3 linked regions of the Oryctolagus cuniculus genome follow. The main gene of each other region encodes a partner of the protein of the gene in region 2 in a complex. Links are inferred from orthologs where the notes say so. Each region holds a gene or a part of one and is shown on either strand. Other genes may lie near its edges. The genes, in order: GRN, SORT1 and NTS.

Region 1 (4,162 bases), on a different chromosome or scaffold from region 2:
CCGCATGACGAGGACACGAGGGCAAGACACAGGGCCACTCCGCTGGCCGGGCTCCGGGCCCACCGGCCCTCCCCTGTGCCCCTGCCGCACCTGCCGCCCGGAAGCAGGCTCGCCCATCCGCGCTGCAGTGGAAGCCCCGAGGGCAGCAGTGACGGCCATCCGCGCAGGACACAGCCTGTGGGACACAGAGGCGCCTGCGTCGGGATGGCCCTCCTACCCGAGGGGGCGGGGGGCGGGAGGCAGGCAGGCAAAGTGCAAAGGCAGCTCCGAGCCCCTCCACTGCATAAGCGGTGCCCTCACCTCCGGAAAGGGGCAGCAGCTGGAGGTGCCCGAGACGGTGAGGACGCAGGAGGCGCCGTGGGTGCAGTGGGCACCCACCTGGCAGGGTCTGCCCAGACGCCTGCTCAGTGTCGGGGGCCATTTGTCCTGCAAAGAGAGGCCAGAGAATAGACCGAAGGCCTCTGCCCGCCTTGGGAAGGCTCTTAGCCGGGCACTCACCGGCACGTGGCTGCAGCAGCTGTAGCCGGCTCCTCCAGGGTCCAGGCAGCAGGCCTCGGGGCAGCGCTGACCGTCGGGGCACTGTGTTCCAGCGACCAGCCCTGCCATGACGGCCACCCAGCTCACCAGGGCCCACATGGTCTGCCTGCGAACACCAACGGGCACCTGTCAACCAGCTGAAGTCCAGGCCGCCTCAGAGTCTGAAGCCGCTCGCTCAGGCAGCCCCAGGCCGACGTCCAGGCCCGGGAGACCTGGAGCCTGCCTCCCAGCTCCGTCCCGACGCAGAAACGTGTGGCTCGGACGCAGCTTCCTCCCTGTGTGTCATTGCATGTTCCAAGCACGTGACACTCCTGCGTCTCCGTGTGCGAGTGTGCAGACGCGGGCTTGTGAGACGCAGTGTGGATTCTGTGGATGTGATGTGTGGAGACGTGGGCCACCTCGGGGGGGGGGGCTCAGGGCCAGGGGAGAGGATGGGGCTGGGGTACAGGAGGGGCTTCTCCAGGAACATCCAAGGCTCCCCACTCCTCAGCCAGTCCTCCCAACGCTGCACCCACACCTGCCCTTGCTGTGGTCTCGCAGGGCCCAGTGGTCACTTCCTGACACGGACGCCACAGGGTTAAGAAAAGTTGTGAAACAGGAAGTGGCAGCCAGTGGAGACTCGGGTGTCTTCCCCAGGGCTCCCTCACTGCTGCCCGCGGCGGTCCCCACCCCACCCAGGACAGGAGACACGGAGGCAAGGGCAGCTTCCAGATCCCTGTGTGCTGAGGGCCCCCAACACCACCAAGGGCCCTGTCAAGTCCCCAAACACATCACCCATCCCCATGTCTCCTCTGCTGGAAATGAAGCAGCCACATGTGGGCAGAGGCTACTGCGCCCGCTGGGCGGCCCATCTGAGTCAGCGGGAGGAACCGGCCACAGGCTCCTGGGGGAAGCCGCCTCCTGCTACCCACACAAGTCTTTCCCCGGGCTCGGGGCCTGTGCCGCCAACCCAAGAAGCGCTACCCTGCCTCCCGGCCGGGCCGCATGCCTGCCGGGGCACTCCTGGTTGTTTACTGCTTTGCAACCATCATCCAGCGTGAGGAGCACGACCTTTACCCTCAGAGGGAAACTGGAGCCCGAGGCTTTATGGCAGAAGTCCAGCCCCGTGCCAGCTCCAGTGAGAGCGGGCCCTGATGGCTCAGGGCACGCCGGCCCGGGAAGGGACCCCAAACCATGGGAGGGGTGGGCCTGGGGTCCAGGCACAGGCAGGGAATGGAAGTGTTTCCTGCATTTGCTCAAGTACCCCCCCCCGGCCCCCCACACACCTGGAAGGCCACCCCCTGGCTCTCGCGGCCGCAGCCTGGTCCTGGACCGAGCCGCCTGGTCCTGGACCGAGTCCCCAGGTCCGCGCTCGCCCCTCAGCTCCCGGGCAGAGCCCGCGCAGCCGCCTGCACCTGCTTCTCCGTGCCCAGCCCCAGCGCAGGCCGCCAGGTGGGGGCCTGTCTGCCCGGGACTACCCGGCGCCCGTGACCTAGCTGTCGTATCTTCCTCGCCCTGTATCTGGAGTGGGGGGAGTGCAGTGCACGCTCTGGCGAATCCACACGCACGCAGGCGCGCACAGCCCCGGCGATGGGGCGAGGGTCTCCCTCACCCCACCCTCACCCCCGGCCCGGAGAGGACGGAGCCTCTGTAAGCCCCTGGCACCTTCCGCTAAGTGGCACTCCCAACCCCAGGGCCAAGGGGCCAGGAAATTCCCCAAAAGGTGAACTGCGAAGGCGCAGGAAAAAGTGGCGGGGAGAGGCGGAAGTTAGCTCGTGCCGCCCCCCGGCAGAGGAAGTTGGGGAAGAGCCAGACTCCACCCGGGGGTTCAGTCACCTCTCCCCTGTCCCGCTCCAAGCCCCTCTGCGCCCCGGGACAAGCGGCGGGCGGGCGGGCCTCCCCTTCAGGGACCACCCCCCACCCTCACCGCCAGAAGGGGAAGAGCCGGCACCTGCCTGCAGGCGGTGGGGCAGGCTCAAGAATCGGGGGGACTGCGGCTCCCGGGGTTCTGGGAGGCAGAGAAGCCCCCTCGGGTGGGGGTGTCTGCAGTGACTGCTTGCGCCCCCTACCCCCGTGCATCAGAAACCCCTAAAGGAGTTTCCACAAGCGGCTCTTCTCTCGCCTCCGGGCTGAGACGCCAGAGGACCCCTAAGCCCACACCCCCCTCCAAGCCCCTGCGCCGCCGCCCTGCTACCTGCGTCCGCGTCCGCGCTCCCTGGGCAGCAGCCGCGGCTCCCCTCACGGACGCCGGCCCCTCAGCGCGCTGGCCCACCCTCCTCTGTTTCCATTGGCCGGGGATCCCAGATACCGCGCCCCCATTGGCTAGTCCTCGACGTAGAGGCGGGGCCAGCCTGGAAAGCTGTGTTTCTTTTTCTCAATTCAGCCTCCTCCTCCCCTTCCTCTCTCTCCCCACACCCCATTTTCTTGGGATCATGTGATTGGGGAATCATATGACGCCTCGGCCGGGGCTGCCGCTGCCAGCCTCGCAGCCAGCCGCGTGCCGCCGGCGCCTGGAGTTGTGTGCGGGAGGAGGGGCCCGCGTTATTTGTGGACGCTGACCGCCGGCCGGCCGCGCCTCTGCGGGGCGTTCGCGGGCGTTCGCGGGCGCTGGGCGGCGGAGCTTTGTGCACTCCGCTTCTGTTCTTTGAGCCGCCTCGCGTTAAAGGTCGGGCAGCCGAACCCCGAGGGGAGATGAGGGATGGCTGTGGACGCCGAAAGGGGCAGCTCCCAGACCCTCGCCTAAGCGGCCGGGTCAGGCTCAGCGCGCGTGCCGGGTGCCGTGGAGGTGCTGGAGGGAGAGGAGCGAGGGTGGCTCACGCCCGAGAAGGAGGGATTGAAGTCGGCCGTGGGAGCAGTGGCTCGAGCTGAACCCGCGAGGACCTGGGTCGCAGCGGGGGCGGGGCGGGGCGCTGGGAGATCGCACAGGCCCGGAGCCAGGGGGGCGCCCGGCGCGGGTGGGCAGCGAGGGCAAGTGGCTCCTAGCTTCAGTCAGCTCTGCCTTCCAGGAGCGGACACGGCGAGTGAGGAGAGCAGAGATTCCCCAACGGGGGCAGTGTTGCCCACCGGGGACGTTCGCAGCAGCGTCTGGAGACGTCTTGGGGTTGTCACGGCCTCAGGGGTGAGGGGTGTGTTCGCCTCACACCGGGCGTCTTTTCTGTTAGTTTGCACACTTTTTAATGTTCTCGTTTCCCAGCAACAAGCAGTTTTGAAAAGATCGGGGGCTGTGTGCATTGAGGCTTCTAGAAGCGGTCGCACAGATTAAGAGCATTCAATAGGAAAATGGCAGAAGGCAGACTTCTCACAGAAGAACTTAGAAGTCCAGTGCGCTGGGGACGTCGGCGATAGAGGCACAAGGTCCTGGATGCCCTAAGGCGGCCCTCTCCAAGGCCGGCAGTGAGGCTGAGCAGCCGTGCCCTTGCCCTGATTGCTGGCGGCAGGAAGTGTGCAATCGGTTTGCAATGAGCTTGTCCAGTGGTTGCAGCGAGCCCGCGGCACTTCCACGCCCAGGGACAAGGGGACGTGAGAGGCAGACGTCCGGGCTCATGGAAACGTTTGCCACCGGGGGTCAGGCCCGACGCGTCCCTTCCCCGAGCCTCCCACGGGCCCCTGACCAGGCCTGTGGCTCCCTCACCCAGCCACCCTGGCC
Region 2 (3,646 bases):
CCTCTTACTTGCCCTAACATTACCTCATTTAAGCCACACAGGAGTTCCTTTGCCTTTATATAATTGACTAACTCTCTGCCAACCAAGTAACTAATCCTTAAGGCTGATGATCCTGAACTCCAGGGCGCCCATCTTGACAGCCCTTAAACCTTGATGGGACACAGAGACCAAGACTACCGATGCTACCTCTAGTCTCAAGACCAGACCGCCATCTCTGCCTTCAGTCTTGCATAGGGTCCAGACCCCAGTGTCCTGCCTGCTGAAATCAAGCTGCCAGGCTACGCCCTACAGTCCAGTGTCCTCTCTCCTGTACCGCTTTCCTTGGTGCTTGTTCTGTTGCTTTCTAGAGATGCTTTATTTTACTGGCTTCCTTCTTATACTGCTTGTCTCTTCCCACAGTTGCCAAGTCAGGATTTCTGTAGTTTGTTGCTGGTTCTGCCCAGTAATTACCTGTGCAATATGATTATCTGTCCAATAATTAACAACTTTGGTTCCCTGTCTCTGTGCCTCAATTTTCTTGATAAGCAGCAGCTTTCCACTCTTGGGGAGTGGATTTCAATATTTTTTAGCCCTACGACAACTCTTTCATCCTCCAGCATAGGAAAGGGGCTGACAAAAAAGTCTGGGGAATGCAAATACCAGAGGAAGTCCTCCAGGGAACAGGGACAGATGGACGGCTGCTTGGCGACAACATAGTCTCGACCGTTCTGACAGACGGAAGATTTGCGTAGCCGAAGGTACTGTTCTTTATATCCCAAAATGCAGCCATCTTCATGGTCTCCGGGGTCTGTGGAGTGCGCCAGCCATACGGTGTAGTCTTTCTCTTCACCTAAAGGACAGACGGACTGCTCAGGAAACCATGCGCACAGAACCCACCCACGGAGGCAGCTGCCAGGCTACAGAAAGAAGGACAGGGAGACAGGGAATGGCTGACTCAGCTTCTTGCTTCATTTTGGAAGTGCAGACAAAAAGTCTAGAGTCAACTAGCAGTGGCCATCTCTTCACGCCAAGAGGGGGCTCTCTCCCCTCCCCTACAGTTGGAGGATTCGCAGAGACCTTGTTTGTTCCGGGAGGGAGGCTGGGAAGAGGCCCTCCAGAGCTCATTCCAGGCTGAGGGGTGGCTGATGCATGCCTGGAGCACCTCTGTCCCTGGCCAGCAACCACATGCTTTCCCATCAGCCTCAGGGGCTCTTTGTTTAGGACAGGAGACTAATTAACAGAGCACAGTTTCAATTTCACGTGTGTGAGTTTGCTTCAAACACAGGGAAAACGACCTCTTTCTACACTTCTAACTCTACCCAACTGGCTCCCAAATGCAGACTGCTGGTGGCAACAGTTTCTGGCTTAGTATACTGTCTCTTCTGTGCCTGGAAAAATGACTCAAAGGCTATGCCCTGAAGACTGTGGATTAGGTTTTCCTCCTTTGGGATATGAAGACCAGCACAGAGCCTGTTTGAAGGGCAGGTAGAATAAATCTTTTAATGATTTTAACTTTAGGGATAGCTATTGAACTGCCCTCCGAGGGGAAGACTCATAAGCCAGTTCTTTTATAGCCTAATTAGTGAATTTAGAGATAGTGACCCTCAGGTATTAAATCATAATTAAACAGGGTCCAAACCAACAGCTGTGTTTCTCAGGAGTCACTGAATTAACACTTTGAGGAAATGGACCCATAACAATCTTCAGTGAAGATGTCCTGACGTTGAGTCTTTGACTGTATTATGCCGACGTGGAACACAGATCACTTTTTCTCCAGGTTTTCCTATTTCTCTAACTGTCAGCACTGCTGGCACTGGAGTCTGGGAATACCGTGCAGTGAACACTGAAGCCCTTTGCACATCTCGTTTGAAGTCACAGAGCTCTGACGGGGCTTCCTGTCGGCCCAGTGGCCACTCTGCAGCCTCACCTGCAACTGAGGTTCTGACCAAAACTGCATGAGAGCGTCCTCACTTCAGCACACTGAGATGACACAATTAGATGCTCTTTCGCAATAGTTTCCTCTAAAATTTCCTCCTCACAGTCCCACTACATTTCCCTAATCAGAGGTGAAAAACCCTGAAATGTTATGAAATCATTTTAGACAAATACTCAGATACTATTCCTACAAGCAGGACAAAAGCCACATAAAAGTTACAGAGAGTGCTCTAACAGTGCAAAAGCCCTACTGTGATAAGGGGTAGCACTAGACCCACGTGGCTGGTCTGGTGTAAGGTTTGCTGTGTTAAATATATACCAGATTTTGAACACTTAGAAGAAAAAAAATGAAAAAAATCTCACTAATCATTTTTTTAGAGAGATAGAGGGAGTTATAGACAGTGAGAGAGAGACAGAGAGAAAGGTCTTCCTTCTGTTGGTTCACCCCCAAAATGGCCACTACGGCTGGCATTGCGCCAATCCGAAGCCAGGAGCCAGGTGCTTCCTCCTGGGCTCCCAAGTGGGTGCAGGGTCCAAGGACTTGGGCCATCCTCCACTGCCTTCCCGGGCCACCACAGAGAGTTGGACGGGAAAAGGAACAACTGGAACAGAATCCATTGCCCCAACTGGGACTAGGACCCCGGGGTGCTGGCGCCGCAGGCAGAGGATTAGCCTAGTGAGCTGCGGTGCTGGCCTTACTAATCATTTTTAATATTGCTTGAATGTTGAAATCATAATATATTATCTATATTAAGATTTCACCATTCTTTTCACTTTTATAATGTAGCTGACAGAATAATTGAAATTACTTATTGGCCCTCGTATTTCTCTTGGATAGTGCTAGTCCCAAGAAGGAAACTGCTTTTCCGGTCCATTCCACTGCTTGATTATCCTTCAGTCCCTTGTGTATGCATTTGCTTATTCCAGCTAAAAGAAATGAAACTGAATTGATTATTGAGAGAAATAGGCTTACAAGATTATGTTAGAAAAGGTTGAAAGAGGCACTTACAGTTCCTTTCAAGGATATCCTTAAAATTGATGGTGTAGGAGACCCACTGGCGGGTCAGGAAAGACTCTGTGAAACCCCAAATGCTGATGTTCATGGACCTGGCCCCGGGTTCCGAAGCCAGGCCGGTGAAATAGATGGGCTCCGTGGTGAACGTGTAGGTTTGCCAGCATTGACCTTCATCTGTAGAGAACCTAAAAGCACAATCAGAGAAAGACCATGGCAGATGATCACTGTGTTCAGGGAATGACAGGAAACCGCTCTGGCTATTGGATCCCAAACTAGAGACAAACCCTTTTGAAGTGAGGGCTTACAATTATTTTAATTTTTAGTACCACAGTTAACAGGGCAGGGAAAGGGGATTCAAACAGAGTACAGAGTAAATACTTCTATAAAAGTCATTTCAAAGGAAGAGGAAAGGGTAGTGACCCAGGTAAGAATGGCTTTTAAATTAGTAAACTCAAGTTATTTTATAAGAACTTGTACACTCAAGAAGTCATTTCTAACCCAGAGTTGATACGCTTGATACTTGCGTAATATTTGGGGGTTGAGAAAGAATGTTTTTAAACAGTGACAAAATGTGTAAGCTAGAGGGAGTCACTGGAAAAAGCAATGCTTTTAATCTGAGTTGCTCTAAATGTAATCCCTTCGAGAACCTCCCCTACAGTAATGGAGAATGCAAAAATGCGAATCAGGTCTGTGACTCCCCCTCCCTGCCTCCCCATG
Region 3 (3,646 bases), on a different chromosome or scaffold from region 2:
TCCATAATTTTTCTGCTTCTGTTACTAATGCAATATTTTCAATTTTTAAAGTATTTTTTTGAATTGGGGTAGTTACTCACTTCTTTTTGAAATCTTTTTTAAATATTTATTTGTATTTATTTGAAAGAATTACAAAGAGGAGAGACAGACACACACACACACACATTGAGAGAGAGAGAGAGAGAGAGAGAGAGAGAGAAGTCTTCCATTGCTGGTTCACTCCCCAGTTGGCCACAAGATCCGGAGCTGCGCCAGTCCGAAGCCAGGAGCCAGGAGCTTCCTCCATTCTCCCATGTGGGTGCAGGGGCCCAAGGACTTGGGCCATCTTCCGCTGCTTTCCCAGGTGCATTAGCAGGGAGCTAGATCAGAAGTAGAGCAGCCAGGACTCAACTTGGGACCCATATGGGATGCCTGTGCTGCAAGTCTGGGCTTTAATCTGCTGTACCACAGCACTGGCCCCTCTTTTTGAAATCTTAATAGTTGTGTTAAGGATACTAAAATTTTGTGCCAGTTTTTTCTACATAGATTGATTTTGATTGAGTTCAGGATGCTGTATGTTTCCATAGAGATATTGGTGATTTACACATTTCTGTATTTAAAATCATCTTTGTCTTTATGGAAATTGATTTAGAATCTGCTAAGGTTATCACTCCTGGCTTGTAAAATAAATTGTCCTACATTTTCACAGTAGTTTATTTTATTCATATTAATCTATCTGGATATTGCTTGAAAATAACACATCAAAAAAGTTCTAACTAGGGACTGGCTTTACATCACAGTGGGTTAAGCCACTGCTGGCGATACTGATGTCCTATATTGGAGTGCCAATTAAAGTCCTGGCTACTCAAGTTCTGATCCAGATACGTGCTAATGTGCCTTGGAAGGCAGAAGAAAATGGCCCAAGTACTTGGGCCCTACCACGCACATGAGAGATCTGGGTGGAGTTCCTGACTCCTGGCTTCGGCCATTCCCAGCCCTGTCTTTGGGTATTTGAGGAGTGAACCAACAGATGGAAGTTCTGTCTCGCTCTCTCCCTCTCTGTTATGTTGCTTTTGAAAAAACAGACATATAATAAGTCTTTTTAAAAGGTTATAATCATATCTGCATGTAAATATCTCCATAGATAACTGTCCCAAAATATTTGAGATGCAACCTTTGCTGTATACAACACACAAACATGCACTTGGGTCCGTTCTGGAACATTATATTCTCTTCCTTTAGATTTTGTGTTTATCCCTGCACTATTAATTCACCCCTTTGATTACTGTAGCTTTCAAATGCATTTTAACATTTAGTAGAATAAGCCTTTCCTTGACACCATTTTTCTACATCTTCTTGGTTGTTCTCACTCGGTCAAACCTTTATAATTATTCTGCCAAATCCCATTCTGCAACTTCCAGGATCCCTGTGTTTTCCACACTGGAACACTGATTTACAATTACATTGTATTTGGAGAGTAGTTCAGAAAAAATATAGCTTGATATTATTATAATTAAGCCTGTCCATAATGCCCTTGTGTTCATTTAAATCTCTTTTTTAGTCTTTGAGAAAAAATAATATTTGTGCCCTTTGAATTTTTTGCTCATTTTGAGTATTTCACTGCTAGGGGATTTCCTACTCCTTGTTTTCTTATTGGTTATTGTTGATATGGAGGAACATTGTTGATCATGGTTAATTATGGTTTTTAACAAGACCTTATTAGAGGGGCCCAGCACTGTGGCACAGCAGGTTAAAGCCCTGGTCTGCTGCATGGGCATCCCTTATGGGCTATGGCCTGGGAAATCAGTAGAAGATGGCCCCTGCACCCACATGGGAGACCCAGAGGAAGCTCCTGACTCCTGCCTTCCAATAGGCGCAGCTCCGACCATTGTAGCCATCTGCAGAGTGAACCAATGGATGGAAGAACTTTCTTTCTGTTTCTGACTCTGACTCTCTGTAACTCTGTTTTACAAATAAATAAAATAAATCTAAACAAAGGCCTTATTAGAAAATAAATTCCATGAAATATTATAATTATAATTCACAAATAAATTGGTCAGCTCTAATGCTTGCATGACAGGTATTAATGTGAGGAATATGTTAACAGCCTCACACTATTGTAATTGTCCAAGTCTATTAATATCATTTTAGTTCTTGCTGCATTAGGCACTAAGCTGGAACATAATGAAAAGCAAATTATATTTTTTGAATTTTAGTTTTTTCATCTCTGACATGTGTAGACATATATATGTCTACTGGCCACCATCTATAATATCTTACTTTCATATATAATTGTTGTGTATATGCATGTATGTATGTGTGTGTATGTGTGTCTAACTCTATTATGTATTCTATTATCCAGAGAATGCCAAGAATTTAACTTATGACATGAAGTTATTATATCAGCAATACTATATTTATTAGGCTAGAGTAACAATTAAACTCCAAAATGCCATGAATTAACTTAATAGAAATTTATTTCTTACTCATATTCCACAAGTTTTATTTCAAATAGTTGTTTTGCCTTCTGTATTTCAGATCACTAAAGCAAGTGTTCCTTCTTGGAAAATGACCCTGCTCAATGTTTGCAGTTTTGTGAATAACCTGAACAGCCAAGCTGAAGAAACAGGAGAGGTTCGTGAAGAGGAGCTTGTTACAAGAAGGAGATTCCCTACCACTTTAGATGGCTTTAGCTTGGAAGCAATGCTGACAATATACCAGCTCCAAAAAATCTGCCACAGCAGAGCCTTTCAACACTGGGAGGTAAAACAAAAACAAAATATGAATATAATTATATGTAAACTAGTTAGCTCTCATTTGTATTGATTTTTTATCCCAATCATATCATAACAGGAAGAATCACGAATATTAAAGAATAAACCATGTGCTGAGATCAATATTCCTCCAAATCTTCAAAGAGTTCTTACAATATTTGGAGTTTAGAAAAAATATTTTATCTTAAATCTTAAAAAGGGATAGATTTTAAGGCAGATTTGATCCATATGCTTTATTATGCTTAAGTGGATGACATGTTTTGGCAATTTTTGATGTTGGTGGTGGTTGTGGCATGTCTAAGAAATTTAAGGAATTCAAAACGTTTTCTTAGAAACACAAAGTCATGTGTTTACTTATCTACAAACAAATGCAAGATGCAAAGTGTTCCAAATAAAACCAGAATAAACACAAAAGATTTTATTTGCATTTGAATATATTATGCAAATAAAATACACATATACATATGCATACAATCATTTATATAAAACATATGATAGGGAGATATATCCCTTTCATTTCATTTTTTAAATTTATGCAAATAAAATACACATATACCTATGCATACATTCATTTATATAAAACATATAAGATAGGGAGATATATACCTTTCATTACATTTTTTAAATTTAATTTGTATTTAAATACATTATGCAAATAAAATCTTTTTGTAATTTGTAAAATATATATGATATATATTTTTATCATTCCACTTTTATCCAGAACTCTTTGATTTGTGTTTGTTTATAAAGAAAAATACATGACTCTGTGCATGTGTTTGTAGTCCTATTTTAAATGTTTGTGAATTTCAGGCATTCTTAGCAGCTAAACTAGGTTCACTATAGCCACGACAGCTAAGTTTCATCATACAGAACTACAATGAGAAACTGGGTGA

The links.
Region 1: the proteins of SORT1 (region 2) and GRN are in contact, whole or in part, in a crystal structure (PDB 8T8S), measured with the Homo sapiens proteins. The link is inferred for Oryctolagus cuniculus from reciprocal best matches to the Homo sapiens genes SORT1 and GRN. Residues at the interface, in NP_002950.3 of Homo sapiens: Leu108, Gly110, Ser111, Val112, Ser113, Leu114, Ile174, Gly175, Pro176, Lys260, Tyr304, Ser305, Phe306, Gly307, Leu308, Phe314, Ala315, Ser316, Arg325, Ile327, Phe350, Tyr351, Ser352, Ile353, Leu354, Tyr395, Thr398, Gly399, Thr402, Phe404; in NP_002078.1 of Homo sapiens: Pro578, Arg579, Trp580, Asp581, Ala582, Pro583, Arg585, Arg590, Gln591, Leu592, Leu593.
Region 3: the proteins of SORT1 (region 2) and NTS are in contact, whole or in part, in a crystal structure (PDB 4PO7), measured with the Homo sapiens proteins. The link is inferred for Oryctolagus cuniculus from reciprocal best matches to the Homo sapiens genes SORT1 and NTS. Residues at the interface, in NP_002950.3 of Homo sapiens: Val112, Ser113, Leu114, Ser115, Trp116, Lys260, Tyr304, Ser305, Phe306, Gly307, Leu308, Phe314, Ser316, Arg325, Ile327, Phe350, Tyr351, Ser352, Ile353, Tyr395, Gly399, Thr570, Gly571, Leu572, Ala573, Trp586, Trp597; in NP_006174.1 of Homo sapiens: Leu152, Tyr153, Glu154, Asn155, Pro160, Tyr161, Ile162, Leu163.

Annotation. Positions count from the first base shown.
Region 1 is NC_091448.1:18,942,937-18,947,098, forward strand, and holds the start of GRN (progranulin), read right to left. Parts: upstream 2,864-4,162; 5' UTR 2,711-2,863; intron 644-2,710; 5' UTR 637-643; coding exon 499-636; intron 427-498; coding exon 301-426; intron 176-300; coding exon 91-175; intron 1-90. UniProt on the Homo sapiens protein: Secreted protein that acts as a key regulator of lysosomal function and as a growth factor involved in inflammation, wound healing and cell proliferation. Regulates protein trafficking to lysosomes, and also the activity of lysosomal enzymes.
Region 2 is NC_091438.1:61,110,596-61,114,241, reverse strand, and holds part of SORT1 (sortilin), read right to left. Parts: intron 3,115-3,646; coding exon 2,924-3,114; intron 830-2,923; coding exon 640-829; intron 1-639.
Region 3 is NC_091442.1:88,635,787-88,639,432, forward strand, and holds part of NTS (neurotensin/neuromedin N), read left to right. Parts: intron 1-2,517; coding exon 2,518-2,742; intron 2,743-3,646. UniProt on the Homo sapiens protein: Neurotensin may play an endocrine or paracrine role in the regulation of fat metabolism. It causes contraction of smooth muscle.